7 linked regions of the Oryzias latipes genome follow. The main gene of each other region encodes a partner of the protein of the gene in region 4 in a complex. Links are inferred from orthologs where the notes say so. Each region holds a gene or a part of one and is shown on either strand. Other genes may lie near its edges.

The links.
Region 1: the proteins of tfdp1 (region 4) and rb1 are in contact, whole or in part, in a crystal structure (PDB 2AZE), measured with the Homo sapiens proteins. The link is inferred for Oryzias latipes from reciprocal best matches to the Homo sapiens genes TFDP1 and RB1. Residues at the interface, in NP_009042.1 of Homo sapiens: Gln222, Glu225, Leu226, Gln229, Ile262, Val271, Asp273, Asp288, Asn289, Thr290, Phe291, Glu292, Ile293, His294, Asp295, Glu298, Arg302; in NP_000312.2 of Homo sapiens: Ile835, Ser838, Phe839, Thr841, Ser842, Phe845, Gln846, Ile848, Asn849, Val852, Cys853, Asn854, Ser855, Val858, Leu859, Lys860, Arg861.
Region 2: the proteins of tfdp1 (region 4) and rbl1 are in contact, whole or in part, in a crystal structure (PDB 5TUV), measured with the Homo sapiens proteins. The link is inferred for Oryzias latipes from reciprocal best matches to the Homo sapiens genes TFDP1 and RBL1. Residues at the interface, in NP_009042.1 of Homo sapiens: Pro260, Phe261, Ile262, Thr290, Phe291, Glu292, Ile293, His294, Asp295, Ile297, Glu298; in NP_002886.2 of Homo sapiens: Tyr1004, Phe1006, Asn1007, Ser1011, Leu1014, Ile1017, Asn1018, Ile1021.
Region 3: tfdp1 (region 4) and mybl2 share a complex: the UniProt entries of both Homo sapiens proteins name them as parts of the DREAM complex. The link is inferred for Oryzias latipes from reciprocal best matches to the Homo sapiens genes TFDP1 and MYBL2.
Region 5: tfdp1 (region 4) and lin9 share a complex: the UniProt entries of both Homo sapiens proteins name them as parts of the DREAM complex. The link is inferred for Oryzias latipes from reciprocal best matches to the Homo sapiens genes TFDP1 and LIN9.
Region 6: tfdp1 (region 4) and lin52 share a complex: the UniProt entries of both Homo sapiens proteins name them as parts of the DREAM complex. The link is inferred for Oryzias latipes from reciprocal best matches to the Homo sapiens genes TFDP1 and LIN52.
Region 7: the proteins of tfdp1 (region 4) and e2f1 are in contact, whole or in part, in a crystal structure (PDB 2AZE), measured with the Homo sapiens proteins. The link is inferred for Oryzias latipes from reciprocal best matches to the Homo sapiens genes TFDP1 and E2F1. Residues at the interface, in NP_009042.1 of Homo sapiens: Glu201, Cys202, Leu205, Glu206, Glu208, Arg209, Arg212, Leu213, Arg215, Ile216, Lys219, Gln220, Gln222, Leu223, Leu226, Ile227, Gln229, Gln230, Phe233, Lys234, Leu236, Val237, Arg239, Asn240, Arg241, Glu244, Pro251, Ser255, Val256, Ile257; in NP_005216.1 of Homo sapiens: Arg202, Leu203, Leu206, Thr207, Asp209, Leu210, Leu213, Gln214, Ser216, Glu217, Leu220, Asp221, Leu223, Met224, Ile226, Cys227, Thr228, Gln230, Leu231, Leu234, Asp239, Ser240, Gln241, Arg242, Leu243, Ala244, Tyr245, Val246, Thr247, Cys248.

The regions. Positions count from the first base shown.
Region 1 is NC_019872.2:15,934,077-15,938,170, forward strand, and holds the start of rb1 (retinoblastoma-associated protein), read right to left. Parts: upstream 2,812-4,094; 5' UTR 2,649-2,811; coding exon 2,539-2,648; intron 915-2,538; coding exon 794-914; intron 1-793. UniProt on the Homo sapiens protein: Tumor suppressor that is a key regulator of the G1/S transition of the cell cycle. The hypophosphorylated form binds transcription regulators of the E2F family, preventing transcription of E2F-responsive genes.
Region 2 is NC_019863.2:32,783,187-32,786,703, forward strand, and holds part of rbl1 (retinoblastoma-like protein 1), read right to left. Parts: coding exon 3,411-3,517; intron 3,160-3,410; coding exon 2,996-3,159; intron 2,896-2,995; coding exon 2,831-2,895; intron 2,756-2,830; coding exon 2,599-2,755; intron 2,065-2,598; coding exon 1,898-2,064; intron 1,808-1,897; coding exon 1,695-1,807; intron 1,607-1,694; coding exon 1,503-1,606; intron 1,438-1,502; coding exon 1,300-1,437; intron 1,189-1,299; coding exon 1,024-1,188; intron 697-1,023; coding exon 564-696; intron 492-563; coding exon 258-491; intron 161-257; coding exon 1-160. UniProt on the Homo sapiens protein: Key regulator of entry into cell division. Directly involved in heterochromatin formation by maintaining overall chromatin structure and, in particular, that of constitutive heterochromatin by stabilizing histone methylation.
Region 3 is NC_019863.2:23,223,536-23,227,500, forward strand, and holds the start of mybl2 (myb-related protein B), read right to left. Parts: upstream 2,806-3,965; 5' UTR 2,568-2,805; coding exon 2,548-2,567; intron 2,273-2,547; coding exon 2,176-2,272; intron 1,190-2,175; coding exon 1,118-1,189; intron 121-1,117; coding exon 28-120; intron 1-27. UniProt on the Homo sapiens protein: Transcription factor involved in the regulation of cell survival, proliferation, and differentiation. Transactivates the expression of the CLU gene.
Region 4 is NC_019879.2:10,686,696-10,690,819, forward strand, and holds the start of tfdp1 (transcription factor Dp-1), read right to left. Parts: upstream 2,816-4,124; 5' UTR 2,711-2,815; intron 2,597-2,710; 5' UTR 2,418-2,596; intron 236-2,417; exon of another isoform or gene 73-235; intron 1-72. UniProt on the Homo sapiens protein: Can stimulate E2F-dependent transcription.
Region 5 is NC_019882.2:7,716,612-7,720,645, reverse strand, and holds the start of lin9 (protein lin-9 homolog), read right to left. Parts: upstream 2,818-4,034; 5' UTR 2,737-2,817; coding exon 2,706-2,736; intron 1,885-2,705; coding exon 1,852-1,884; intron 1,592-1,851; coding exon 1,500-1,591; intron 3-1,499; coding exon 1-2. UniProt on the Homo sapiens protein: Acts as a tumor suppressor. Inhibits DNA synthesis. Its ability to inhibit oncogenic transformation is mediated through its association with RB1. Plays a role in the expression of genes required for the G1/S transition.
Region 6 is NC_019880.2:13,721,177-13,725,361, reverse strand, and holds the start of lin52 (protein lin-52 homolog), read right to left. Parts: upstream 2,811-4,185; 5' UTR 2,808-2,810; coding exon 2,774-2,807; intron 2,723-2,773; exon of another isoform or gene 2,663-2,722; intron 1,988-2,662; coding exon 1,934-1,987; intron 1,318-1,933; coding exon 1,243-1,317; intron 1,167-1,242; coding exon 1,129-1,166; intron 1,032-1,128; coding exon 965-1,031; intron 204-964; coding exon 120-203; intron 1-119. Other genes in the region: pomt2 (protein O-mannosyl-transferase 2), read right to left, coding at 3,787-3,892, 4,078-4,185.
Region 7 is NC_019865.2:2,000,224-2,004,535, forward strand, and holds the start of e2f1 (transcription factor E2F1), read right to left. Parts: upstream 2,814-4,312; 5' UTR 1,905-2,813; intron 1,815-1,904; 5' UTR 1,609-1,814; coding exon 1,357-1,608; intron 1,269-1,356; coding exon 1,169-1,268; intron 50-1,168; coding exon 1-49. Other genes in the region: znf341 (zinc finger protein 341), read left to right, coding at 3,325-3,355, 3,813-3,923. UniProt on the Homo sapiens protein: Transcription activator that binds DNA cooperatively with DP proteins through the E2 recognition site, 5'-TTTC[CG]CGC-3' found in the promoter region of a number of genes whose products are involved in cell cycle regulation or in DNA replication.

The sequences.
Region 1 (4,094 bases), on a different chromosome or scaffold from region 4:
CTTTTGTGCTTAGGTAAAATTGAGCCATAATAGTAAAAAAAAATGCACAGTGTTAAAGTAAACAAGTCTTTATTATATTCAAAAGGTTTCTGAAAATCCCAATTCTGATCCAGTTTGCGTCAAATCAAGCTCAGATGACAACTGGTACAAAAACAAAATATTTAATTTTATGAATCATTATTTCTTTAATCCAGAAAGAAATGTTCTGCTTTTTGATGTCAGACTGCATAATTACTGATTGTTATTAGACTTTCCACAATAAGGTCTTGTTTTGGCAGATTTTATATGTTATTTTTGTCAAAGCTACTAATAAATTCTACCTGGGTGATTCCATGACACCCTGGAGTCATGGTGTTACAATCTCCTTGTTTGTGCAAATATCTTAAGAAAAAACTTGCCGATAATTTTCTTTCCCATAGCAGAGATTTCAGTGTTTGCTTGTTTAATTGTCAGTCTTCATTATTTTTCTGTCATCTCTTTATTTCACTGGTTTAGGAACTTCTTTATTAAAGAAAGTTATGTGTTTGCGCTGTCATCAGACTCATTTAAATCCTTCAGATGGTTGATTAAAATGCATCTAAGTTTAAATGAAATATAAAAGCAAGTACATTTAGCTGGGGCACTTTGTTGTCACGTAAAGAGGAAAAAATAAGTATAATTGCTTGGTTGGCATTTGGTTTCAGACTGCATCAACCTGCCATCCCTTTTATTTTGATCTATAAATGTATCTTTGCTTTTACCATCAGGGCCCCAACATTACAAAGTGACAACTCGGACAGTTGGTTATACATACATCAACATCTTCCATCACATCCTGTACAGTTTTCCACAAAGTCCACGCGCGCTCACACACGGAATCCGTGGCGTGGAGGCTCTTACACAGGGTCACAAACTCCACATCCTTCTCTGTGTGTCTTCAGAAAGGAAAACAAACGTCAGAAAATCAGATTATATAGCAGTGAAACCTTCTAGACTATTTTCTAAACCACATGATTTCCTGTTATTTGTAGATGAAACTTGTTAAAACCAGTGATGAAAGTCAGGTAAGGAAAAAATCCCTGAACTTTTCTTTGAGCGATATGGCGGGCACAGAGCAAAATTTTGGAAAAATACGTGGTCTTAGATGCATTCTGGTGCATTCTGGCAACTAGTTATTCACTTCTTTATCAAGAAACTAAGACTAATTGGAGCATCATGATTTGTCATTCAAACCCCTAGTTTGACTCTCCATTAAGGACTTGCTGGTCCCAAAAAAGAATTTGGAAAATTGCTCAAAGTAACACAATCCTACAATCTACGCTTTTCCTTAAAGCTGCAAAACATACAATTGCTAAAATATAGTAACATCAAAGCCCCAAATGGCAAAAAGAACACCAGTAACTATGATATTCTATGAAAATACCTCAGTTATTTATACATTATTTCTGCTTTAGAAATGACTGATGTACAACATCCACTTGCACTGTTTTCTCAAACTATAATTACATCAAAATATGGGATCTGCTTTAACTATAATTCTATAACATAATACATCAATTCTTTAACACCAATACTAAGTAATCTGGGAAATATCAAAACAAACATACAAACTAAGCTAAACATTGTAAACATTATTTTTTAAGGGAGTGCGGGTCCAAACCATCAAATACTTGTAATTAATGTCAACTATACTGAACTAAATCATGGTAATTAGGAAATACAAATAAATTAGATAAAGAAATGTATTCAAAATAAAAACTGAAACTCAAAACTAAAATTGAAATTATTTCAAAATGTGGTTTTGAGATTATTTTACACAAAAAAGTATTTGACCTACACTACCTTAAAAATCTTTTTTTTCCAGCCAAGACCACTTCAATTTGTTTTTTATCGTCTTCTCACAACTGAGGTCGTGACCACGCTCAATAATGACGATGCCTGCCATTATTTTAACACAAATTTTATCGCAAACTCTTCAGATGTGTTTGTGAAAGTTTAGCGTGGGTCCGCCAGTTTTGGTCTCTAGGGAAGCGAGTCACGCTGACCACGTGGTGCAGACAGAGCCAATCAGACCCGTCGACGCATCCGAAAGCAACTAAAACGGCCCGTCATTGGTCAATTAGGCCGGGAAGACGAGAGATGGCCACGACCATAGAGGAAGCGATCTGCGGAGAAATATAGAAAATAAAGCTAAAATTAGCTGATTTCAGACCATTTTTTAATCCGGAAAGCGATTTGTCCGTAGAGATCAGGTCTTTATTTCCCGGAAAGTACGTTCGGTTTGCTCAAAAACCCGGATTTCCGGGAATTCCCGGAAGACTTTCATCACTGTAAAACTATGCTGCTGGTTGTGTGGATTGCGACATTCATTGTCAGTACTACTGTAGGGGTACAATGTTGTTAGCCTCGCGGTGGCTAACTCTAACGGTTCGTACACAAGCTACTCATGAAAATACTCCTTCAAAGCCCGTTTTTTGTGTCAGTGAGTAAAGAGCGTTTTAATGTGTATACTGGGAATCTGTTGTCCCCTTCCGAATGGCGACTGTTAACTTATCTTACTTGTTCAAAGAAAACTCTGGACTCCCCTTCTTGTCTGCAAAGCTTTTGTCAGAACTCGGCTTCGGCTCCTTGCTCTGTGCCGCTCCCGAGTTGCGTTTTTTAGGCGGCATATTGGAGTGGTTACTTTTCAGAAAAATGTGTACACCTTTTTGTACTTTTGTTTAAATCGGCAGCTAATGTATTTAGAGTTTAAAGCCCACTCAGTAAATTCAATGGCAACAATACAACAAAATCTGACATACTTCCTGGAGCCGTGCTTCAGTGTATGCTCGTTTTATTCAAAGGAATTGCCCCGCAGGGAGGTTATGTCGTAGCGTTTGCAAACGTTCTTTACACTGTGATAATATATCTGAATAAAATACCCTATTTTGAATTTAGATTTAAGAATATTATTTCTAAAGAAGTCAAAGCTAATTTTACTATTAAACTGTACTCTAAATCATATCAGACACCATTTTTTTAGTTCACACAGATCACATGACAGCACTTGAGTTAAATAAAACAAACTGACAGTACAAAAGCGCGGGAAAATACAGACGCAATTTCCGCTTGTTTGCGCATGCACCACAATCGAAACAAAGTTAGCACGTCTGTCAATGGCAATGACGTTGATTGTATAACAAAAACATATTTTCCTTACATCGAAAATAATAATAATTTACGTTTGAACCTTTTTTCCATTCCTGGTGGTTAGCGTACCTACAATCTAATCTGTGGTTCACTTAGTTTGAGCTCGGGTCATAATAAAAAACAAGATTAATTAAATCAAATCAAACTTTATTTATAAACCACTTTTTAATTTTAAAAGAATAACATACAGTTCTTTAAATTAAAACAAAATAAATAGTACAAAAACAAGCATGAAAATTAAAATAAATAAACACAAAAATTAAAAAATAGGGCCCCCTTCCTGTACCTACACACAGCCCCCCACTCCTTTCACACCTCCCACCCCCTAAACTGATGGGGAAAGACAATAATGAGAAATAGGCTGAGCACGAAAACAAGATGTTTGAATCGTTTGAACCTCCCTCTCTCTGAATAGCTGCATAGCCAGCCAAAATGCAGCATCACAGGCGGGGACCGCTCCACCACAGCTAAGTGGGGATGCAGGTCCCCATCTAGAGCTGCATCTAGAGGGAGAGGACCCAACTGAGGTCCTGACTAATAGTAGTAGTAATAAAAATGTATTAATGTTTTGACTTTGATTACTACTATGATTGCTACACAATACTATTAATGAAACTATTATTATTATTAATACTCCAACTCTATGGGGTTTTTTTTCAAGCCGTGGTGGTGGGGGATCCTTTTGGTTGAATCTCCTGTGTCTGTTGGGTCGTTTTCCTTGGTTTTCAGGGCTTTTTGTACCTTTTGAGTTTCATTCTAATCTTTGTTGCGATTAAAATGTGGTCTTGAGTACACACTTTGTGTGTGCTAAGGCCAGAATTAATGTATATCTAATAAAGGAAATCAAATATGAGATGTGTTTAATATATACATATACCCTCTGGCCTTTTTGAAGCTTTATGCAAATTTTACTGATAATCAAACAG
Region 2 (3,517 bases), on a different chromosome or scaffold from region 4:
CGCCGCGGCCGGCCGCTTCCCGTGTACGGCTCGGTCGTCATGGCAACAGCGGCGGCGGGTCGGCTCGGGGACGACGTCAGCAGGAACTGGGCGGTCACCACTCCGGAGGAATCGCAGGAAGACACGGGGATGAGGGTGAAGGTGCGGTCGGTGCTCATGCCTGCGGGTTGAACGTCACACCTTCAGCTCGGGCTGCTCTCATGCCTCAGACTCCTCCCACTTTCCTCCCATTCAGTGTCCAGGTGAGAAATGATCACCTTGCAGTGGGAGACTCACGACCGTCGTCTGAGCTCCTTGGCCACCGATCTTGAGCGTTGTGCTGCCGCTTGAGCTGAAGGTCAGTTTCTTGGCTGGGGAGGGCAGCGGCCCCGCGGGGGAGGTCAGGCCCACAGACGGAGCCGGAGGGTCGTCGCCAAAGAGACGCCGCTTGGCGCTCCCGGCCGCCGGGGAGCTGTACCTGTCGTGAACCGACAGCGGAGAGGGGGGCACCTCTGAAAGGGCAGAGGAAGCAAAGTCGGTGCTTGAACCGCAGCATCCTGCACAGACGTGGAGCAGACACCCACCTTTCCGCGCGCTCCCCAAACCGGCCCTGAACTCCCGGATGCGGGGGTGGATGATGGGGGAGTGGGCCGCCAGCGGCAGGTGAGGCTGAATGCCGTTAGAGGAACCCGAGTCCAGACAGGAGGAGAAGTTGACCTGTTGGAGGAGACGAGGAGACTGCTGCCAGGTGTGTCGTCAGGTGACTTAAAGAAAAACCTGGATTCCCAGAATCCTCTGCTCTAACCGTCAGATGTTTGAAGTTCATAATCTTCACGCAGACAAAATAAAACAATCCAAAGTTTTTATTTTGTCCACATGAAGGTCTACAATAATCCAGACCTTTTCATGACTCAGCAGAATTGCTGAGACAAACTCTGGAGAGCAGGAAGATGAAAGCAGGCTTCACATGTAGACCTCAGTAAACCTGACAGACCCTAAATGACCTTCAATGACCTTCACCTTGGTCAGCACCGTCACACTGACCTCCTCCACGGAGGGAACTTCGTTCCCTGCAGCCTTCAGGGCGCTCCACAGCGCAGAATCTTCGGTCCACGCTCTGCTCTCCAGAACCTGCTCCTCAATGGAGTTCAGGTGCTTCACCATGTCTCTGGACAGGCCCTCCTCAGAGCGGATGAACACCTCGATCACCTGCACACACAGCCCCAGAGACCGCCGTTCTCCTTAAACCAGCTGACTCATGGTTCAGCAGAGGAAAACCCAAGTGGATCTAAAAGATCTCCAGCGGAGCAGCGTCTCTACCTTAAAGAAGTAAAACGGGGCCAGTTTGAAGACGTCGATGATCCACGGGAACGTCCTCTGCGAGCTGTAGGAGAACAGCACCACCTCCAGGCAGCACGCCATCAGCGAGCAGTGAAAGATGTCCTGCTCCAGCAGAGCCTGCAGTCACAGCACTGTCAGATCAGGCCGCCGCGTTTCCCGCCATCCGGCGCCGCGCCACTTACGCTCATGTCTCTGCCCTGCAGCCGCTTGGTCTCCTGCACCAGAACGTTCTCCAGAACCTTGTAGTAGAGGATCTCAGCCAGCTTCAGGCGGTTCTCTGCAAAGTCTGAAGCAAACGCGACGAACATCGTCACTCTTCCCGGACTAAACCTGAACGGATGAAGCTGAGGCAGCTTCTGAGCAGAACCGGATACCTATGTGAGAACCCGGGGTGTCCTCCGAGTCGTTGGTGTAATGTTCCTTGAAGGTCTGACCCAGAGTCTTCACTCGGGCCAGAACGGAACCAGTGGGATCCCTGGAGCAGGTTCTGCAGGGCAAACGGAGGAACCGGGACACAAACGGAGAAATTTTTCATATGAACTTCCTCTCAGCAGCGCGTGCCAAGACAAACACCCACCTGAAGATCTGCATCAGGTTTTCGCTGGGGGCCGTCCTCAAACCCGCCACCATGCTCTGCAGCCGGCTGACGCTCTGCGTCGCCGAGGAGACGGGAGTGACGAGCAGGTCCTTCTCCTTCAGGTAGCCCCGCCCCGTCAGCGGGGTGGATGGAGCGAGGGAGGCGGGCTGCAGAGAATGAAAGAAGGTCCATCAGGTGGTCTGCAGAGCCCCGCTCCGACAGACACAAACATGCTGCTGCAGTCAGAGGCTGGACTTCATCGTCATAGAAACGCTGGCGCTGGTATTTCCTCCAGAGGTAACTGGAGGTCAAACCTCCTGAAGGTCTGCCGAATGGCCTGCTTCCAGCACCGAGGCGGGAAATGGTGGAGCAGCTTCATGATTTGACGTTTGTTGGGAAAATGAAAGCAAAGCTACACAAAGGATGAGCAGCAGCAGCAGAGGGGAACGGCGCATTTCTCTGCTGTCCTGACCCCATCAACCGTTTGGACGTTTTCACGGCGTGGTGGAGCAGAGGGGTCAAACCCGCCTGGTTCTGCGTCTGACCACAGGCCGCCATATGGCGGGTTTGACCCATGATGGATTTGAGACAGGACAGGAGTTTCTAGTCTTCCTCGTGGGTGCGGTGCGAGCCCCTTCCTCACAGGACGACCACGTCAAAGCGACTTTGGCGACGACTTGGCGGCGTTTGCGAGGACGCACCTTCTCCCTGTGTTGCTGCATCTGACCGGCAGAGCGATCTGGAAGGACCTTCCTCGGCGTTCCGATTTCCTCGTCTGCGTCGGCTCCCAGGAAGACGCGCTCATCGAAGTCCCCCACCGTCAGCACGTACTCCTCATACTCCCTGTTGACGGCTTTGCTGTGGAAACGGGCAGAACGCAGCGGTGAGGAGCCGCCGGCGGAAGAACCGCGTCAGAATCCAGAGCGTCCGTACTTGTTATCTATGAAGTTCTGAGGGTCCAGCATTTCCGTCAGCAGCTCCTGGTTTCCCCTCAAGATCTGAAAGGATGCAAAGAAAACGGAAGCATCAGAAGTTGTGCAATCCAAGGATGTAATGGAAAGACTGGGGGGGCCACAGGTGAGGAGACAGGGTGCACACCTGTCTCTGGAAGAGCTTCTGGATGTACGGTCTGAAGTAGTGCTGCCTGATGCCTTTGGCTTCCACCACCAGCCCATCGTGGAGCTCACACAACCTCTCCAGCACGCAGGGAGGGGGCTCGTCAGGCACCACGTGGCAGTCTGCGCGGTACTGGGGGGGCAGACCTGAGGAGACCCAAACACGGGAAGAGTTTGACGGTTGCTGGTGCAACCCCCTGAAGGCCCCCGCTTCCCCGTGAGGCCATGAAGCCGCACAGCGAGGAACGGTGGTTTGAAGCCCGCCGTGGCTTCCATGGAGCTGCTTTCTCCAACGCACATCACTCCCATCAACGTGATCATGTGTGTGTGTGTGTTGGGGGGAGTTTATGCGTGTTTGCATGTGAACAGAAAAGGTGGCAGAAGCGGAGCGGACCGACCTCTGAAGGTCGGGTTGATGAGGTCCTTCCTGTTTGCACACAGCAGAGCGTTTCCAAACACCAAGTCCAGACAGCAGAGCAGCAGGTGGTACGAGTTCACCAGGTCA
Region 3 (3,965 bases), on a different chromosome or scaffold from region 4:
TGACTTGCTAATTGAATGGCAGCTTACCTTCTCGTCTTCCTCTTTAGTCCACGGACCTTTAACCAGCTCGGGATCCAAAACCTTAAACCAGCGGTGCTGACACTGGTTCTCCGAGTGGTTCTGGACCAACAGAACAAGCGTCAGGTTTGGAAAAACGTCCTAACTAAACCTCTGATCCCGATCATCTCCAGATCAATCCCAACATGTTTGTCACCAAAACAGTACTTGCAAAAAACGATATTGAAATAATTGTTAACCTTTTCTTCAAAAAAGACAAACAATTGTTTAAAGTACTTTAAAAAGCAGTTTTCTTTCTCTCTCTACAGGATTTGAAAAACCAAAAAAAATGTTTTTTTCTGAAATATATGTAACTTTATTTTTTGCTGCAGGTTTGTCCTTGTTCTTTTGTCATCAGAAATAATGTGCAGATTAAATCCTCTCACCTTAAATTTTTTTCTGCAATTTGAAGGAATTTTTATAATTTTAAGTCTTTTAATCCCAGATTTTTAGTGCAAAAAAAGTTTAAACAAACAAAAAAAACATCAAGTCACCCAACTTTGACAAATCCAACATTCGGTTTACCAAAATCCTACAAAAGGGGATTCTCTTCTTTGGGAAAATTTGAACTAGGATTAAACTCTAAATGCTTTATAAAAGGGAAAACTGAATATTAAAACTGCCTACGGTAATCGCTGAAACTTGGTTTTATATTTTTAAGTCTGAGCAATAAAAGTGTTGGATAATTGCAAGAAAACATTTCAGTGAAAGAAATCATAAAAGCAGAGGCGGAGCTAGAAGATTTTAAAGGGGGGGTGGAAGACTTTGAAAGGGTGGCAACAAGAACTTTTTTTTAAAATAATTTTTTTTAAAATTATTTTTGCAATACTTAAAGAAGCTAGTATTTATGATTTCTAAACCTATGAAAATAATGATTATCATATCAACTCAAATATTAGGAGGCTAAGATTTATGCAGGGGGGGGGGGGGGGTGCCCCCTCTTGCCCGCCTGTAGCTCCGCCCCTGTATAAAAGTAAGATTTCGTAAATTTGTATAAATCAAAGTTCCTGCAGTGCAACACAAAGTGATGATCAGACAGATACGCCCCTATTAGACCTACAGGGAGGTGGCTGCAGATTCGTTTCCAGTCATTTGTCCCCAGTTTTTGAACCAGACCTTTGAGCTTGTCGTCCTGCAAAAAACAAACAAACACAAATCATTTTTGTTTTACGCTGCAAAACCACGAGGGCTACTATATCAGTGTTTTTCAACCAGTGTGCCGTGGTGCCGGGGGAGATGGTCTGGTGTGCCGTGGGAAATTGCCCTCATTAACTGATCTAAAAAGATTTCCCAACTCCAGGATAACAGCTCTTTGTTCATCCAAACAGGCCCTGATAAAACACTGAGTAGTTAGGAATATGAAAGACCATAAAATACATTTTTCTTTGTGTTTATTTGATTCTATTAAAGACATGTTGATAAGAATGACGGTACCGTGATTTAGCCGCAGCTACAGTTGTATAAGGAATAGTCCCGCCCCTTTAACTGTCTCCACCAATCATTCTTGGAGGCTCAATCACACGTCAACAGTCTGACCAATCAGAAGTGGTTAAAGTCTTCACTTCCTTGTTCCGATTCTGCTCATAAAGTCTCTCAGTTCCAACAAAAATATCAGCTAAAGCTCGTCTTTAGCGGTGCAGCTTTCCACAGAATCTGGTATCAGACCGTGGAAAAAGTGGACAAAAGAATGAAGCTCAGAGACGCTAGTCTTTCTGCGTTCTGCGGCTGTTTGCACTACATCTCCCATGATGCATTGGGTTAAAGTGACAGCGTCTTAGCGCAGAATGAGTCGTCCTTGTTAAACGTCTTGAAACCACAACGAAAACAGATCAAACAGTTTTTAAATCTTTTAACTTAACTTTTATTACATCTTTTAGAAAAAAAACAGCTGCAACTTCCAGCTTTTTCTGCCACAATTGTCACAAAAATGCATGTGAGATTGCGGAGGGGCTGTAGTAGATCAATACAGACTGACTATAAGTTTTTCCTTTTTTCTCTCACATTTTTGGATGCTGGTGTGCCGCAGGATTTTTGTCAAGGTTAAAGTGTGTCGTGGCTCAAAAAAGGTTGAAAAACACTGCACTAGAATCACAGGCCCCACTCAGGGTGAACTTTTACCTCCTCCTGCGTCCATCTGACCTTTACTTTCCCTCCATCCCTGAACTCCGTCAGATCGGTGTCCGTGTCCGGATGCGCGGCCTCCTCCCCGTCCTCCCTGCCGGGACACATTAAAGAGGTTGAGATTTGACCCTAAAGGCGCCGAAGAAAGACCGGATCCGCGGGATTGCGGCTCAGCTTTACTGACAGGAAGCAGTGATCTGGAAAAGTACCGGCGGTGATTCTGGTCGGAGTTTGAGCCAAGTCCGGAAAAAAGGCGGCAGTCAAAGTCCGCGCAAACTCCCCACAACCCGATCGGAGCAGAAGTCAGCTCATCAGATGCAACATAAACAAACAAGCAAACTTAAAAGCAAACAAAAACACGGATCTTACCCGCGCGGCCACGATGACATTTCCCACTGTTATTTGGGTCAAACGTGGACTTCACCGGGCTGGGCTGCAGGTGTTTGCGGGAAAAACCTGCAGGTGACACGGCTGGGTCGTTGCAGGATGTCCAGTTCTGACGAAAGAACCTCGACTGCAGTTATAATAGAGCCGGGAAGCCACAGCTAGAGGTAGGCGCGAGCTTCGTCCGCGCGCCGCAATTTCTATCTCGCGCCCTTCTCCGTACTGCTGACTCTCAAGTGACGTAGGTGCTCCGTAGATCTGCGCAGAAGGCTTCAAACCTCTATGGATGACCTTCAAAATAAAATGTTAAGACGCTTTATAATAAAATAAATGTAATGTTTGGTTGATTCAAAATGGTTTTTAATTAGGTGCTGTAATTAAGATTTATAAAATAAATAAATAATAAATAAATAATTTAAAATATAATAATAATAATAATTATATAGACAAAAAAATACAACATAGAATTGAAAAAAAATGATATAGACAAATAAATGAATGAAAATATTGAAGCAAAGATACATTGTCCTAAAAGAAATAATTACACTACAAAACCAACTTAAAAATAAAAGAGCCAAACTAACTTAACTAACTAACTAACTAACAAATAAATAAATAAAGCTAGAAAAATAATAACCCAAAAAGTTAAATTTAATCTAAAACCGGAAAACAGTTAAAAAAAATAATGAAAAGGTTAGTTTTAAATGAATCAGTATATGAATATATAAAATATTTGTGAACTCTTCTTATAAGCTAAGATAAAATGATTAGTCAATAGTTAGGTCTTTTATGATTGTTGCGAGTTGAAGGTAAACATTGTTCATCTTATAACTTTTCTTTTAAGCTCAATCTTCTCAATCTCAGTAAAAATTTGGATAGAACAGTTCTCATTAATTAAGATCAGCGAACAGCTTCATTTAGGCCTGTAATTTAATTTGACTTTTAAAGTTTACTTGTAATTTTGATTTCACATAAGAAAATTAAACAAAATTCAAATATTTGGATTAGAAAATGGTTTATTTAAAGCAATCAAATAAGAATAGTACACAAAAACAATACAATCATCAGTTAGACATTCATACAATGACCTATCAAACTGATATAAATATCAAAATATTATGATTAAAAAATAGTGTATTAGTTTAGGGGAATACATGTACTTATGGTTAACTCTAGGGCACTATCGCCGGGTGAATTTCCCCAGAGAAAAACTACTTACATGAAATTCAATATGTTGTGTTTAAATTCTTTTTAGGAATTTTTCTGTTCTCAAATTCCTAATTTTTCAGGAATTTTTGAGCATATTTTTAGGAACTCCCTATGTTTTTCTTTTTCATTTTGTCATACATCCCACAGTTGAAAATAAAAGAAAACCACTCTAATTTATGTCTAATTTATGGTGT
Region 4 (4,124 bases):
TTTAAAACATGTGCACAAAACTGAAAGTTCTTACTTGAGGCGCCGAGCCACAATTCAATAAATGCAGCTTACCGGTGCGCCTTCAAGTTAGCAGTTCGTTACCTGGCCTTTTCACTCCCTTTCAGCTAGCCGTTCAGCGGAGCAGCGACTCTAACAATCTGATCTTGGCGGTGTCTCACTTTAGCGGCGTCTGATTGGACAGCAGGAACGAGACGAAACCATTGAATGTTACTACAGTCAATGGACGAAACCAAGTGGAGTAGGGGTTCAAAATCTCTTGGGGTTGTTGAACACTATCCAACTTCAGGAAAACACGTAGCGCCATCTGCTGGACTGGAATGACATGAAACTACAAGCATGACTAGTTATTGGATTCTTATTTTACTGGATTTAATTATCCTTTTAATTATTTAAGTATGTGAATGAAAGGCATCTAAAGTAAAACTCTCCCTCATATAACCTAAAAAAAATAAGACGAGCCTTGCATTACAAAACTCTGTTTATTCTGTCTTGCTATGGTTTGTTCTTCTATATTTGTTTTCTGGCTGCAATTACTGGATTATTTTTGCTGCTTTACTGTGTTAAGCAATCTTTTGTAATGCTCAACCATTCATCAATAAAAATAAATAAATAGAAAAAGGTTAACTCATGGCACTTCTGAACCCTTAATTTTTTGCAATTTGAACAATGAAACTTTGGAACATAAACTTTTATGAACACATACATAGGTTTTCTGGATAAACATTAGACGTTAAATTAGACGTCAAATTAAGTTTACATTCCCCCTATATGTGCTATAGTTGGATTGACTAGATAATTCATTGACAAATACTATTAATATTATTTTATTACTCAATAAATATCACGCTCATTGAAATAAATGGAGAAGCAGCAAACCCTCCTTGTCATGTTGTAAATAAATGAATTCAAAATATATTACCGATCATTAAAACTTCCAAAAAGAATCAATCCACAAATATCTGCTTGTTATTTTTTTTAGTTTCCTTGTATAATTTTTTTGTCTCCATTTTACAATCCTATGTGAGAGATTGTACATTACAGTGTGTTGTTGATTTATTCAATAAAAAAAAAAATTGGCACTTCAGAAAGTAACAAAGACCTTTGAAAGATGACAGCTGAAATGCATAGTTTGAAAATTAGTAAACATTAATGTATGTGTTTGTGCATGTGTGAATGTATGTGTACCTGTATGATTGTGTATATATATAAATTATATGTATTCAGAAGTAAATCAATTGAATGTTTTTTTTTGTTTGTTTGTTTTTTTGATGGGCTTCGACAAGCAGAATGCTTCAGCCCAGACTCCTTGGGTTAATAAAGATTACCGGTGTTGTTTAAATTAATTACACCAATTATTATTTTTCATTCCCAGGTGTTAACGATAAACCAGGAGGACACATAATTGAAAAAAGGTGAGGACTGTTACAGTTTACTTTTTTTTTTTTTTTTGTCTGACTCCAAATCCCAGCACTCACCTTTGGCATTTATTGCATTAGGCGTGATAATAAAGGCATTCTATTCTATTCTATTCTATATCTACAAACACTGCCAAGTTAAGAATTTAATGCAGTCATAATTAATTTGATAGTTTTCTATCTGCAGTGGTGTGTCTATTTGGCATAGTTCTCTCCAACTGCATTTTTGGAGGTTTGGTGTCGGAATTTTTGTCCTATAATCAAAGTAAATTCCTAGCTGGTGAAGAGTTTAGCAATGCTGAGTTTATTGGGTGATACAGAAAATAGTGCTTTCTTTAAACTCTGTTGCGAGCTGAACATTTATAACTATGTCTTAGGCCATCTTGTTATAGTAATTTCATGTTACAGCCTACATAGCGACATGGTCAGAAGTCAAACATTTTCACTAGAAAATAAAATAAAATCATGAGCAATGACAGAAATTTTCTTAGTGGTGTAGTTTCCATCATCAAAGACATCTTTTTTCAAAGAATGTTTGCTAGATTTTAGTTGATGATCTATCATCTTCTTCTTAATGTTCCAGTTCCTCTTGAAAAAGTAAAAACATGTTATTTTTGTGATTGTTTTAAATAATTGAAAATGTTCTTCTCTAAAATATATAAGGGGGTAAGACCCACAGCATGCAGGTCACTAAGCAACAAGATTTAGGAATTTGGCATTTTATTACAATGAAAAGCAATGTGTTTCTTTGTTTATTTCTTTTTTTTTACTCCATTGTTCATTCTTTTTTGACACACACACACACAGACACACATGATGCGTTTACTGTATACGAACATTAACATGATGTGTTTCAAGAACTACTGAAACACATCTCAAATAAATCTTCTGCATTGGGGCAGAAGCGGGACATGAAGTCACCTGTGCTGATGTGATCCACGCTGGTCTCCAGAGCCAACAGGATCAGCTTGAAACACCTACCAATGTATTTCTTTGAGGTCCTGAGACAGCACACATCTCCCTGAAGGTTCTGGGGGACTCCTTCCTGTCTGCAGGCGATGTGAAGGCAGGCGGATGCGATGGCGACGTTGGCGCGCCCCTTCAAGCTCTTCTGCTCACAAAATTGGTGGAATAAGTTGTTGGTTTTGTCTGCGATGTTCCTAGGGAAGTTTACAAAAATGTTCATTTAAATACATGAAAAAAATGTTAAATGTCTGAAGGACTCGAACAAATAGGTAGAAAAACAAAAAAAGAAAGTTTTTAGTAAACATTACATTCTATTAAACATCTTGAAATTGCCACGAATTGGTGTTACACTGTTACAGTTCATTACAGAGGAGCTTCATTCTGCATCTTGCGCATCAAACAAACTGCGGCAGCATGGAGTAAAGAAAGCTGCACATTCACAGATAGGTTATCAAGGGCTCACTGTGTGCTGAGTTATTAAAACTTGTTTATGGGTGGACTCATTTCTTTATAAGATAAAACCGAGCTTGGTTCTTCGTCTGCTGAACTCAGATAATTCTGTTTTCTCGTGAAAGAATCTCTAACATACTAAATAGTCCATAAATAGCTTTAGCCCTCACTGTACACCTAAAAATAAGTTATATTGTGTTATATTATATTTAGTAATATTATATTATATTAGTAATATTATAATAGCTGATGAAATTATTTTTATGAATGGATTGAATGGATGAAAAAGAACATTTTGTTGAATATTCATATCTATTTGATACTGTTGTGATCTAATATTTTGTGCTAATTCTTCGCTTGTTGAGAGTTTTTAGAGGTTCCAAAGTTAGAACTTGTTGGTCATTCTTTGGTTATCAGGCTTCTGTCCTCTAGCTCCAGTTACCACTTAAAGTTTGGTGTCAGACAAACCTTTTTTATCTTTATCATTAGGCTAAAACTGTTCTGTTTGATAAAGATGGTGAAGCTCTGTGTAGTCACACAGGCTCATTTTAAAACACACAAAACAGTTTCATAAATATTTTTGAAAATGTTCTTTTAAATGACTTACATTCCTGGTTTGGCACTTTTGTTTCTCTTCTCTTCTGTCCTTTCAGAATAACACCTGAAGATGGGTGATTGACCTTCACTGGTTCTGCTGGAATGTCCCCAAATTAAACAGAAGCCCTTTTTTCTTGTGTTATCAGCTAATCCTTGTATAATCAAAATAGGAGAAAAGCAAACGACAGGGAGTGTGAACTAGACTTGTGAATAATACCTTTCTACTTGGCTCTCAGCATTAAAGATAATATTAATAATAATATTTTAATAATAATTAAAATAATAATTATAATATAAAATAATAATTATAATAATAATTTAATAATAATGTTTTGTTGTTTTGTTTTTTTTTGCATTTCTTTCGTAGACGACTGACATGTTTTTTATTCTTGTTAACATCCTAGGCACTTTAACGTTGGGAGTTGGGTCAAGCAGACCCACTTGACAGTGTGTTGAACCTTTTTCCTTCAATGATTTGTGATCTTCACTGGTGTCCATGGATTACATGAAATCTTTCCACCTTTATCCACCTTTGTCATAGTAGGGAGAACACGTCAATGTAAGGGGGGTGGGGGGTCATCTAAGATAGCACAAGGGTTAGAGGTAAATTGGGTTCTGGACAGACTGGATGGTGAACATTGCTCGTGCAGAAGCCGCAGCTGCTCTTCTTCGGAA
Region 5 (4,034 bases), on a different chromosome or scaffold from region 4:
GGCTGCAGGAAAAAAACTGAGCTTTATTAACCTCAACTCATTTAGATAGCAGCCTCTAAATCAGTGCGAAAGATTTGTACTAGAAAGCTCCAGGTTTTAAGGAAAATACATCCAATGGACACAGTTATTAAAGGAATTTTAGAGAGTTGAGTTTAGATTTTAACATATTTGTGTTGTATTTTTTAAAATATCCCTGTAAGAATTTTAAAAATGAAACCAAACGTACATCTATTACAGCCAAACTAAAGAGGATTACAGGTTTATATAGTGTACATCCTGAAGCTGCATGGTAGCAAGAAGTTAACAGAGGCTGGTGTCATTAAATATTAATACAAGCAACTTATTAAAAGACGAAAACTTCAAGACATTTTTTTTGTGGATAATAATATGCAAATATGTGTTGTATGCAGGTTGAACCACAAGCCCATTCATTTGAGTTCTCCAAGTTCTTCCAAATAAATGAAGCTTGTGCAGTCTTTGTTCATAAACATGTAACATGAGAAATGAAGACTGTAGAATTTTTTTTTTTTTTACATTTACCAGTAATTTACTTTTACTAGTAAATGGCTTAGACTTGTATAGCGCTTTTCTACCTTGCTCAAAGGCCCAAAGCGCTTTACAGTCATAGTCCCATTCACTTATTCACACAAACATTCACACTGATGGCAGCTCTGCTGCTGAACGCTGGCGCCAACCTATATTCACCAGAGGCAAAGTGGGGTTCAGTGTTTTTAAATGTCTTTACTCTTTAGGACAATTTTTAGGATAATTGACCAACTAATGCTTTATATTTGATATTGACTCAACATGAGATGTATTCAAATCATCCCTAAAGTTGAAAGTACAGTACTTTTCTGCTCAACTTTGTAAACATTAAAATCAAATATAATAAGCAGGATTTTAGACACTTGTAAATTCCCACTCCAAACATCTTTTGATCCATTTTAAAAGCATTCCGAGTGGTCTTTTAATTATGATTATGCTATTTTTTTTGCTAAAATCAAAAATATTCATCGAAAGTTTCAGCAGAGCGGCAGTAGTTCATTAGAAATTCCCCTCTGAGTTGTGGGCAGGCCTGTCCTGACTTCCCATGGTTCCTTTGTTTACAGCCACTCACAACCCCAAGCTAACATTTCAGACGCATCAAAAATAACAAGCAATGTTGGAGCTTTCCAGCTGTACAGTTTTGAGCCGGATACCAGCTCGGAAGAGGAAAACAGAGACGTGCAATCATTCATTTGTCTGCAAGTAGATGCACCGGAAAAAAGTGGAGCAAGGAACTTGCGATTGTAGCGCCTACATCATAGCTGCAGGCTTTTTTAAAACAGCATTTTTCGTCTGCTCCTGATTAACAATGATTTGAATAAAGAAATAATCAGAAATGATATTTTAATCTTAATTTTCTTTATATACTGTGTGCCCTCCATCATAACACTAAAAACATTATTTTCATCTTGGAAAAAAAAAATTCTAATTCCAACCAGAATCACTGTTCTTACTGTATCCATTGTGAGGGAGGAATGTCTTCCTCTGGTGTTGTGAGTTCTTGGGAAATTGTTCTTTTCATTTAGAGTGTTGGACAAACTTCCTTCTGTAGGGAAAAAAAAAGATTTATTGATAATATTGTGAGTAAAAAATATAAAATTGAAATATCCAGTTCGTTTTACGGCTTCTTTTTTGTAATATAAATAGGTAAATATAAGTAAAACATGAATTCAAAGATATCTATTATTTTAAATAAACAAGGTCTTGTACAGTCTAATGTCAGGCATAAAAATGACAATTCCAAATACAAGTTATCATTTTGTCAGTTTAAAGACCAGTCCACAAATGATAAAACTGTTGACATACCCTTAAGACTGACGAGAGCCTCTGCCGAGGAACCTGAGAAAGAAGACAAAACGAGCTGCATTAATCATTATGTACAAAATAACACAGCATAAAGATGAAAAGGCTAGCGTACAAAAAAAACAATGCAACAACAACAACACAAAAAAGCAAGCGTACTACACACAAGCTAGTTCAACCAAACCCATCATGACATCTGTCAACGACTGGATACGTTGACTGGCAATTAAGGCCTTTACTTTACCTCAGTCCGAGCTGTCAAAACCAGGACTAACTAGCAAAAAAATAAACGAGATGCGGTCGCCTCGGTTTTCAAGAACTATACAATACATTAGCTGCGTTCAAATTATTTTCCATTGATGAGAACCTTTCGGTTTTCAAATTAGACTTTAAAATGCGAAATAACACACCAGAAACTCACTTAAATCCGCATTAGCTAACATTTAATATATCACTGTGTCGCGAGAAAATAAAAATAGTATTGACCAAATACACCGATACCAAACTAGCAGGCTAGAACGTTGAGGAAACCCTTTTGTTATTATTACCGATAGCGACACAAAGTTAGCAGTTGTTGGCTCCTAGCTAAGCTAGCAGGCATAGTTTACCCATTTGAGCCAAACTAACTAGTTAACCCTACATTAGCTATGGTTAGCCGCTCCAGCTAACAGACGTTAGCTGATTTGAACAAACCGGTGTCTCTTTTACGTTCAAATTGACCTTCTAAATAAACAAAAATCTTGAAGTGACCCCTAAACGAAAAATTAAATTTGTCTGACAAAACGAGTTTCGTCTGATTAGGTGAAAAGCAACGCTCTCTTATTCCACTAACTCGGTAAATTCGTGTTTTTACTCACTCTCGTCTAACAGCTGGTCCATCTCCGCCATCTTGAATTAGCCGCGCTGCTTTTTCAAAGACGTTGTCAAAATGCATTCTGGGTCGGGAATCTGTGGAGGGCGATTTGAGAAACAAGAGTCAAAAACGGCCCGCAAAGTGAAGGTTTGCCATCAAAGTCATGGAAATAACACATTCACGGTTCTAAAATAAACTCCTTGTTTAATTTATGGCACGAAGAAAGCACAAAATGCTGTTTGAATGGACTTGAGCTCTTTGGATGTTTCGATTGGGGGATCATTCAGATTTATTATTGTTTTGATTATGTTCATAACTTGTATTTATTAATATGAAAGCATTTTATTTATTTATTTATTTATTTTTTAATTTTTAATTGAAGTAATGTTACCCTTGTTTGGATAGTTTATCACATATTCATATTTTCAACCTATTCAAACACGACCAACTCTACATCAAAATAAGACTGGTATCGTTGCTAACTTATTGCATTTGTCTTCCAACAGCTGTCTTCTGACAGTGTATTAATCTGTCTGTACTTTTTTTTAAAACGTTTTATTGTAATTGTTTGCACGCTTTACGTAAAGAATTAAATGAAATAAAAGTAAAGCAAAATTCCCCAAATATTTGCTTTGTTTAAACTTCTGTAAAAACAAAAAATAAACAAATAATTAAAGCATAGGATTATAATGTGATGCAGAGACTAAAACTTGTAAAATAAGGTAGGCAGAAAATGGGGGGACTGGTGTGCAATGTGTGATACTTTTAAAATATTTGGATAACATTCTGAAGTTACAATAAAAAATATATTTGTATACATATTTTTGGCAAACCCTGATTTGTAGATTAAAACAAAGATGCACAATCTTGGATTTTTTATTTCTTTTTTGTGTACATGCCAGTATTTTTAAACATGATGGCTGATAATAACTGACATCAGATATGTCAATCTTTCTTATCAGATGTAACACAAAACCTCCCATACTATATTTATTAATGAGTTTATAACTATTATTAGTTGTAAAATGTTTTAAAATACCCAGAATTCTCTGCTCCTTTACAAAAACAACAAAGATGTTTATCTGCATTAGAGATTTTAAAATATCCCATCTTACAATTTCAAATTAGTTGATTGCATATACCAGCAATTATTAATTTACATCACCAAAAACAAAATGCTGCAAATGTTACACCCACAAAACTTGCTAGAATAATATAGCCTATGTGGCAGAGTAAAAGTACTAGTTTTTTATTATAAATCTGTTTAACTGAAAAGGAAGGAACAGTGTACTTTTAGAAATCATTTTTCAAAAGTTACTTAGATAGGAAAAAG
Region 6 (4,185 bases), on a different chromosome or scaffold from region 4:
AAGTGAGGTCAACCTGTTTGGAATTTGAATGTGGAAGCAGCCAAAGACTTCAGCGGCAGAGAATTGCGTGGAAATGCTTTTAGCCCCCCCTAGTGGTGAAGTGTCTTTGTTATACTTACACTCCTCTAAACCCAGCTGGTAAGCCAGATTCTGAAGTCCTTTGACTTTTTCCATCAGATTGGCTGTAGTCAGACTTCCCAGCTCTGCAGAGGTATAACATCACACTAAATAAAAGCATTTAGAGATACTTAATTAGCTAAAGAAACATGAATTATTATTTAAAGTCCCACTCGGATTTGATCTTTTGATCTGTTGTAACCCTTGTGCTATCCTAGGCACTTTAACGTTGGGAGTTGGGTCATGTAGACCCACTAGACAGTGCGCTGAACTTTTTTTCTTCAATGATTTATGATCTTCACTGGTGTCCATGGATTACATGAAATCTTTCCACCTTTATCCACCTTTGTCATGGTCGGAAGAACACGTCAATGTAAGGGTGGGGTCATCTAAGATAGCACAAGGGTTAAAAGGCGTTCCCAGAGGTCTTTTAATGAATGATTATGCCGTTTTTTGCCGAGATAGAAAAAAAACACTGTGTGATTTTTAAGGACAGTTAGAGCAGAGCTGCAGTAGATCATCAGTTTATACACTCTACTGCTAGCTTACAGCCACTCACACCCCCAACCTAACCTTAGAAACGAAAATGGCGAGCAATATTGATTAAGAAATAAGAAATTTCAAACAGCATTTTTTCATCTGCTCCTGATTCACAACGATTTGAATAAATAAGAACTCAGAAATGCAATTTCAAGCTTAATTTTCTTTATACGTGTCCTCCATTATCAGATGTCAAGATATCAAATGCCACAAGAACATGTTCAAAACACGGTTTTTCTTATCAGAGTGGGTTTTTAATGTTTTCCCTAAGGTTTATACAGGATAAATGTCAGCTGTCTGAACCAACCTTTCAACATTTCAATGTCCTCACTCTCCAACTCAGCCATCCACTTTGGAGGAGAGGTGGTGATAGGCTGCAATAAAAAGAGAAAAACAACAACATACAAAGTCTCAACTCCAATCAGTCTATGCAGAGTCAATCCTGCATCTTTAGATCAGAGCTAAACTCACATTTTTGCAAGTTGCCGCAAACTCTGCAACTCCAGGCACTGTGTGAGAATTCACATAAAGAATCAATTACAAAGTAATTTTTTATCAGCTGGGCGTGGGAGGATAGAAACTTACACTGCTCTGGCCACAGGTCAGGTGATGCTCTGTCCAGCTTCTCAAAACTCAGCAACGAAATCTCAAAATCCTCCCCTGCAGAAGCACACAGTGGTTCACTTTGACATGTTCTTTAGTTTTTTAAGTTCTATGCTTTTGGAAATCAGTGGTCAACTATAAAATTCAGCCAAATGTTAATTTAAAAAAAATTAAAAAGTAACTTTTTATAAACAGGTCAAAAATTGAAACCTAAAAACAACTTTTGTTTCATGTTTTATCTAGACAGAAAGAGAGGAAAAAATCTAATATTTATCTGGTCTTAAAATTAGGCAGTTTCGAATGAGAATAAATGGTTTTATTCATTTAAGATTCGTACAAACACTGATCAATTAAAATGTTCAAAGAGGTCATAGTCATGTGGTGATCTGATCATCTACTAATAACTCTTACACTGCTGTAAAAATATGTTTGGCCATTTAAACAGAAATGCCTCGTTGATGTGAGAGATCAGAGGAGAATGGCCAGACCGGTTCCAGCTAATAGAAAGGAAACAGGAACTCAAAGAACCACTGGTTTCAACCAAGGTCTGCAGAAGAGCATCTCTGAACAACCCTTGAGGCAGATAGGCTACAGCAGCAGAAGACCACACCTAATGCTGCCATTACTGTCAGCTAAGATCAGGAAACTGAAGCTTTAATTCACACAGGCTCACCAAAACTGGACAATAGAAGATTAGAAAAACATCTGGTCTGAAGAGTCTCCATTCCTGCTGGGACATTCAGATGGTAGCATCAACAACATAAAACCATAGATCCATCCTGCCTTGTATCAACAGTTGAGGCTGCTGGTGGTGGTGGTGTGATGGTATGGGGGATCTTTTCTTGGCACACTTGTTAGAGACACTTTTCTTTCTTATTTGTCTGTATATGTATAAAGGGTTTTCTTTCTTATCAACAATTACTTTTGCTATCAAATCTGAACACTGGTCCTTCACCAATATAGAGAATTGTATCCAAAATTTCAATAACTCTTGACAGAGTGTGAATTACTAACTAATAACATTATTGGTTCTGCAGACTGTTAAACTTTTTAGAATTTGCTTTCAACATTTTTAACACATTAAAAGATACTCATTACGGACATAATACTTAATAGCAGACTGATTCCATTTTCAATCAAAGGAGTCGAACAGTCACACAAAATCTAACAAGCAACCAAAACAGCTACTACTAATTTAAAGTAGAGAAAAATAACTAAGTGCTAAATGTAGCACTGATGCTAATTCGAGCCAAACGGCCAAACGAAGCAACAAGAAGAACAATCTGGACTGCTGCTGTCATCATCAACGGCGGACAATGTCAGTCCCAGAATCAGGAAAAACAAAGGAAGAAAAACAAACCGATTAAACAAGAATTTAGTCCTACGACAAATTTTACGTTACCTCTGGGTGTTCACATTACACTGCGTTATAACTGTTAACGACTTAAATGTCTCGAAACTGTCACATTTGCGATGTATTCAAAGCGTATCGGAGAGAAGAATTAAAATTTACCTCCATTTGGAGACGCCATCTTCAAAATAATCATGTGACATGCAACAACCAATCGCAGCGGCCGCGCTCTGTTTTGAGGTGTGGCGATGTTTTTCAAAATTACGCCGCTAGAGGGCGGCAATGGTGCTCGCGCTGTTTACAAGAGGCACAGAAGATTACTGTTCGTTTTATTCAAAGATTTATATCGTCTTAGAAATTGTAGTACGAACATTACTGTCATAACTTAATGAAAAGACCCTTATTTAAGCCCACCATAGTCTCAATGAAATGTTACAATGCTGGTACATTTTATGGTTTTACCTTAGGGGACATTTAAATCACCTTTTATTCCCTCTAGTTTTTATTTCTGGAAAGAAAAACCATAACTCAATTATTAAACAAGACTTTCACATCCCAGATTTGGAATGTTTTGCATTTAGTTTATATTTTTATAACAACAATTTCTTGCATTTAGTTTACTAGGCCCATGTTTCACAGATTTTACAAGTTTGAACTTAAGTATACATAAAAAAACGGTACAATTTATTATATATATATATATATATATATATATATATATATATATATATATATATATATATATATATATTGAGTTTTCCAATTTTTTGACTTTGCGGCACATCTCGTTTTGTGTTTGTAAATTTTGCAAATATAACAGGACATGAAATACAAGAATAAAACAATTTATTGATCAACATAATAAAAACACAAAATCAAAAGTATAATACTAAAGCTCAGGACAATCTCAACTAAAAATACATGTAAAATGTTCTGGCTTTAAAAAAAACAACAACTACTGTCTCTTTCAAATGGAATTTAGTTTGTCACTAAAGGCAACTTGGTGACAACTCCAGTGCATCTTAAAAGATTCTACAATCTGCTTTCCAAACTGACTGAATTCACATTTTTTCTTACAGAAAGACAAATGAAATGTTTAGACTCAAACTGATGTTTTGAAATTCCCTCGGCTCAAAATGCTCCGTGTCTGTGACATCTTAATCAAACAAGGATAACTAGAAGTCCCAGGAGTCTATCCACTTCAGGCCTGCCATGGCACTGCCCGGCTCATGGGCAAGAGGACCCATCATGCCATAGGACAGAGGATGAAAAAGGTAGAAACTGGAAGGAAGACAAAGATCTACTCAAAATCAACAAATTCTTTATTGCCTTTACATTCCCACCAACTAGATGTAAATATGAGGTCTGCCTTACAGTATTTAGCACTTTGCAATGCAAAAAGTTACGAGAAGAGTTACTTTCACCTGATATAAACTGCAAAGTTAGGGCTCTCTTATGAGTCTCACCTGTAAAGGATGCTGAGCTGAAGTAGCAGCCATCCACCAACTTTCAGCCGGTCAGAATAAACAGAGTGGAGCAGCAGGTCAGAGCTTTTAAGAAGGATGTCCAGTGTA
Region 7 (4,312 bases), on a different chromosome or scaffold from region 4:
AGGTTCAGGGAGGTGTCGTACCTCGACTTCTCCGCCGTGCTTCGAGGAACTGGAAAAGCAGTGAAAAACACGCCGCCTTAAACCTCCTCCACAAACAAAACACACATCCAGGTGGAAAACAGGTGATCCTCCGACTCCAGCTGTGAAGACGTTCCAGCGGCACAGGCAGGCCTCGTTTGGACCACGCCATCGAAACTTTTATTTTCTTTAAGGTAATATTTATAACCAGCCTTTAAAGAAACTCCAAGCCCCGCCCTCTCTGACGTGGCCACGGGACCTGGATTTCGGAGCCACGGCGGGTCTTTTGGTGGTTTAAAAATAGAAATCCACCGATGAAGATTCTGCTGAAGGAAACATCTTAGAACTGAACGGTCAAATGTGGATTTCAGTGATAAAAAAACAAAAGGAACTGAGGCTCAGCCTTCAGCAGAAATTCTCCTTCAACTTCTCATCCCAACGGCCCCAAACGTCTGCGGACGGAAACGCTTCACGCAGCATGTGGACGCCATGATGTCATGAGTCAGTCTGAGCGTTACGCAATCCAAAAGATGTAAAATGATTGGTGGTCCTGTTCAAAAACACAGGACCTGGACTGCTCTATCCTGCATTAAATTAGGATTTAGATAGTAAAGAATTCATTAAACACAGTTTCTGACTCATGAAAATGTGAAATAGGAGGATTTTATAGTATTTTACGCACCGGGTCCTCCTAAGACCCGGTCCTTTTGAAAAACCGCTGGACCTGGACTCATTTTTATTTAATCATTTTAAAGTTTTTGTGGCTTTCCTGCTCGCAGCGCTCTGTTGTTTGGGATTCTGTTGCCTCCCCTCTTGTGAATTCGTGTCGTCTGCCTGCAATGCAGCTCACCAAACGACGGCAGACTAAAAATAGATCATTTTAAATTGATCAACTACATAAAATCATCCCATTTCAATGTTCATAAATCAGAAGCTGTGTTTAATGAATTCTTTACTATCTAAATCCTAATTTTAATCCAGGTTTGAGCAGCCCAGGTCCTGTGGTTTCTGAAAAGGACCTGGTCTAAGGTGGTCTTAGGGTGAAAAATGCAGTGGAATGTTCCTTTAGTGCCCCCGCTAACCGGACGCCAGCTTCAGCGCCGTGAAAGGATGCCGAGTCGGCGCTCCTGCTCCTGAGCGTGCGGCGTACCTCTGGGAGGAGCAGGAGTAGAAGGAGGTGCTTGGCTGGCGGAGGATCGGGTGGTGCTGACATACTGGTGGTCGCTATCCAGGTCCAGCTTCCTCTTCACCTAATCATCAAATGAAGAGGAATCGATTATGTGAACCCCGGCGTGTGATGATGTGGCGGCGGCGGCCGCCTTGAAGCCACGCCCTCACCGGAGGTCTTCCCAGAGCCGGCCTCCTCCTGTCCTGGCCCCCCGCGTCGGCGTGGCTCTGCGGCGTGGCGAATAGCAGGATTTCCCCCGTGCTGCTGGGGGCGGCCAGCGGGTGGAGTCCCTCATTGCTGGGGCTGGTGATGATGACGATCTGGTGGTCCTGGCTCAGATCGATGCTCCCGGAGTTCAGCAGAGTCTCAAAGTCCTTCAGCAGATCCTCGGATGTCTGACCCGTTATCAGAGTCTCTGACATGGCACTGCCTGCCGCCCAAAGGGCTCCTGCAGCAGACTGGGGGAATGCCAGGGAGGGTGGGGGCACCAACTGGGGTATCAAAACAGGCTCAGCACCAGGTGACCCCAAACATGTTAGGAGGACTTGAGGAGAAAATGCTGATCCATTAACCTCTCCTCCTCCTCCTCCTCCTCCTGCTGAAGGTTGACCTACAGCGAGCCTGAAATCTGCAGATCAACCACAGAGGAGTCGAAGGTTCAAACGTCAAGGCGAGACGTGGAGCCCAAACAGGAAACGACCCGCTGAGCGCATCCTACTTTAGGCTCACGCGCTGCTCGGCTCGCGCGCCGTTTTCAGCGGAAATAAAAGAAGGTCAAAAGACGAAGTAGAAGAAGAAACCCGCCGTAAATTGAGATCATGAGCGAGCTAGCCTGCTAGTCTTTCGTTTTCCTGTCAGAGGCCTCGCCACTCCGTCCTCAAACACAGAGCTACCAAGCTAACGAACTAGCTTACCACAAGAAAAGACTACAACAACTTTGCTAATAAACACGAACAACAGCAGAGGACTACATTTACCACCACTACCTAAAAGTTTATCTCCTTTTCCCTACGATATGGCTTCATTAACGGGTTCGGAAAACTTTATAGACGCTCACAGAACTGGGCTATCTAAGCAATAAAAAAAATACACATTCACTCGGCGGAGGCATCATGATCGCAGATCCACACCATCTTTGAGAAAATAGTTCCCAAAAGAAAGCAACCATCCGTCCGGGCGACGGCGACGACAGAGAGTTTAGCGCGGAAATACGGGGAACTTTAGCATGCTAGCTTCAGGGATTAGCTGCAGTTCTTCGGTCCCCCTCGTACTGTTGGGGCACGCAGGAAGCACTCGGAGAAACGCGGGAGATGCAGACAAAACGGAGGAAATACTCGCTCAAACGTTAAAAAATGTGCCGATGCTCCTTCGTCTGCTCGCCGAAGATCGGGTCCATCTGTAAACGAGCCGCGCCGACCCCATTAGCAGCCGTCATTGTTGTTGTCCCAGCTGATCTATATCTAAACAAGGCTGGACGGTTTTCGCGCGAAATCCTTTTTGCCGCGAAACTGGCACGTGGGGAAAAGCGACCGCTGGGATTGGCCAGTGGGATTCGTTTTGCGCGTGACGCGATTGGTGTCTTCCGATTGGTGGAAATGGCCGTCTGTCACGTTACAGAGCATGGGGAAAACTGGCCTTCCATGTGACCAGGTTGGTGTTCTCTGATTGGCGGAGATGGCCGTCTGTGACTCTCCAGAGCACAGATTTGCTGATTGGGAGGTGCATTCACGTTCCACGGACAAAAGGCTTCTTAACTGCTTTGTTTAGGAAATTTTAAACAAAATAGTAAAACACGTAGTGTCAGTTTCATGTAAGGTTTCCCAAAACTAAAAGATAAACTCCTTTACCATATTAAATATATGATGTAACAGTCTTTGCGTCCCAGCTTAAAAAAGTTACGTTTTTTCAATGTAGTCCCTAGCGCTCCCTCTCCGTTTAAGCAATCAGATTAACAAAAAATAAAGTTAAATCTGATTGCTTAGGAACTTTCTAAACTAGAGTTTTCTGGGGGTCTGAACCAAATGTGATAAGTTTTTTTCTATTTGCAAATATTAATGTAAGCATTTCATTGGGGGGTCTGCACCTAAAGTAACAGACCCTACCAATCGATCACCGATGGTAAACAGGAGCGCTGTAAGATGGCGCAGACAATATTCGAGGCGCTGGAAGGTACAAATATAGTCTTATTTACCGCGCAATTATTAAATATGTTATATGCCAAAGAAAACCACATCATGTAAATTAACTGGAGACTTGTTTGAACACTAAATCACCCTTTAAACGGGTATTATGTAGGCTGTAAGCACCCTGAACTGAAGGGTTCTGCCTGATCTGATGATGATGATTGTAAACAACCTGATTATATTTTAAAGATTAAGACTGTACTGCTATAAACGGCTTTTTTTGTAAATGTAATATTAATTATTTCTGTAATATAATAACTCATCTCGTATGTCAGTGTAAAAGCTGTACATGTGACAATAAAAGCTATTCATTAATATGTGAACATGCACTCCTCGCGTTATTGTTTCTGTCACTTTCATGGAGAAGCAGATCTTCTTCTAACATGTTGTAAAAAGAAAAGCTGTTACTGATGTTAAATCCCTGTTTCCCTCCATCCCCTCAGGCATGGACAACCAGACCGTTCTAGCAGTCCAGTCCCTGCTGGATGGCCAGGGGGGAGTCAATGACCCCAACAACCAGAATGTGTCTGCAGGATCCACCATCCAGTCTATGGGTAAGGAGCATTCTGCACCGAGCTCCACAGGACTGCTACAGATTAAGACAACTAAGCTCAAAGTTGCATTTCCGAGTATTCGTAAAAGATCGCATTTGTGACGTAGAAAATCCGCCGGGCGGGGCCACAGGCTCCCTGCTCCGCCCCATTCTGATGCATCCACTTGCAGACAAATAGGTTGAGGGGCTTTTATCTAGTGTGTAAACAAAGAGCTCTCAGCAACAAGGGGGTTGCTCTGTGCCAACAGTCACGCCCACAGCTCCTGGCGCTCTGCAGAATCTATGTTCTAGAAAACAAACAGTTTTTTTCCAATGTATTTTTGGCTAAAAACGAAAAGAGATCAGGGGATGATTGGAGTGGAACTTAAACCTTCTTCCTCTCAAAAGCCA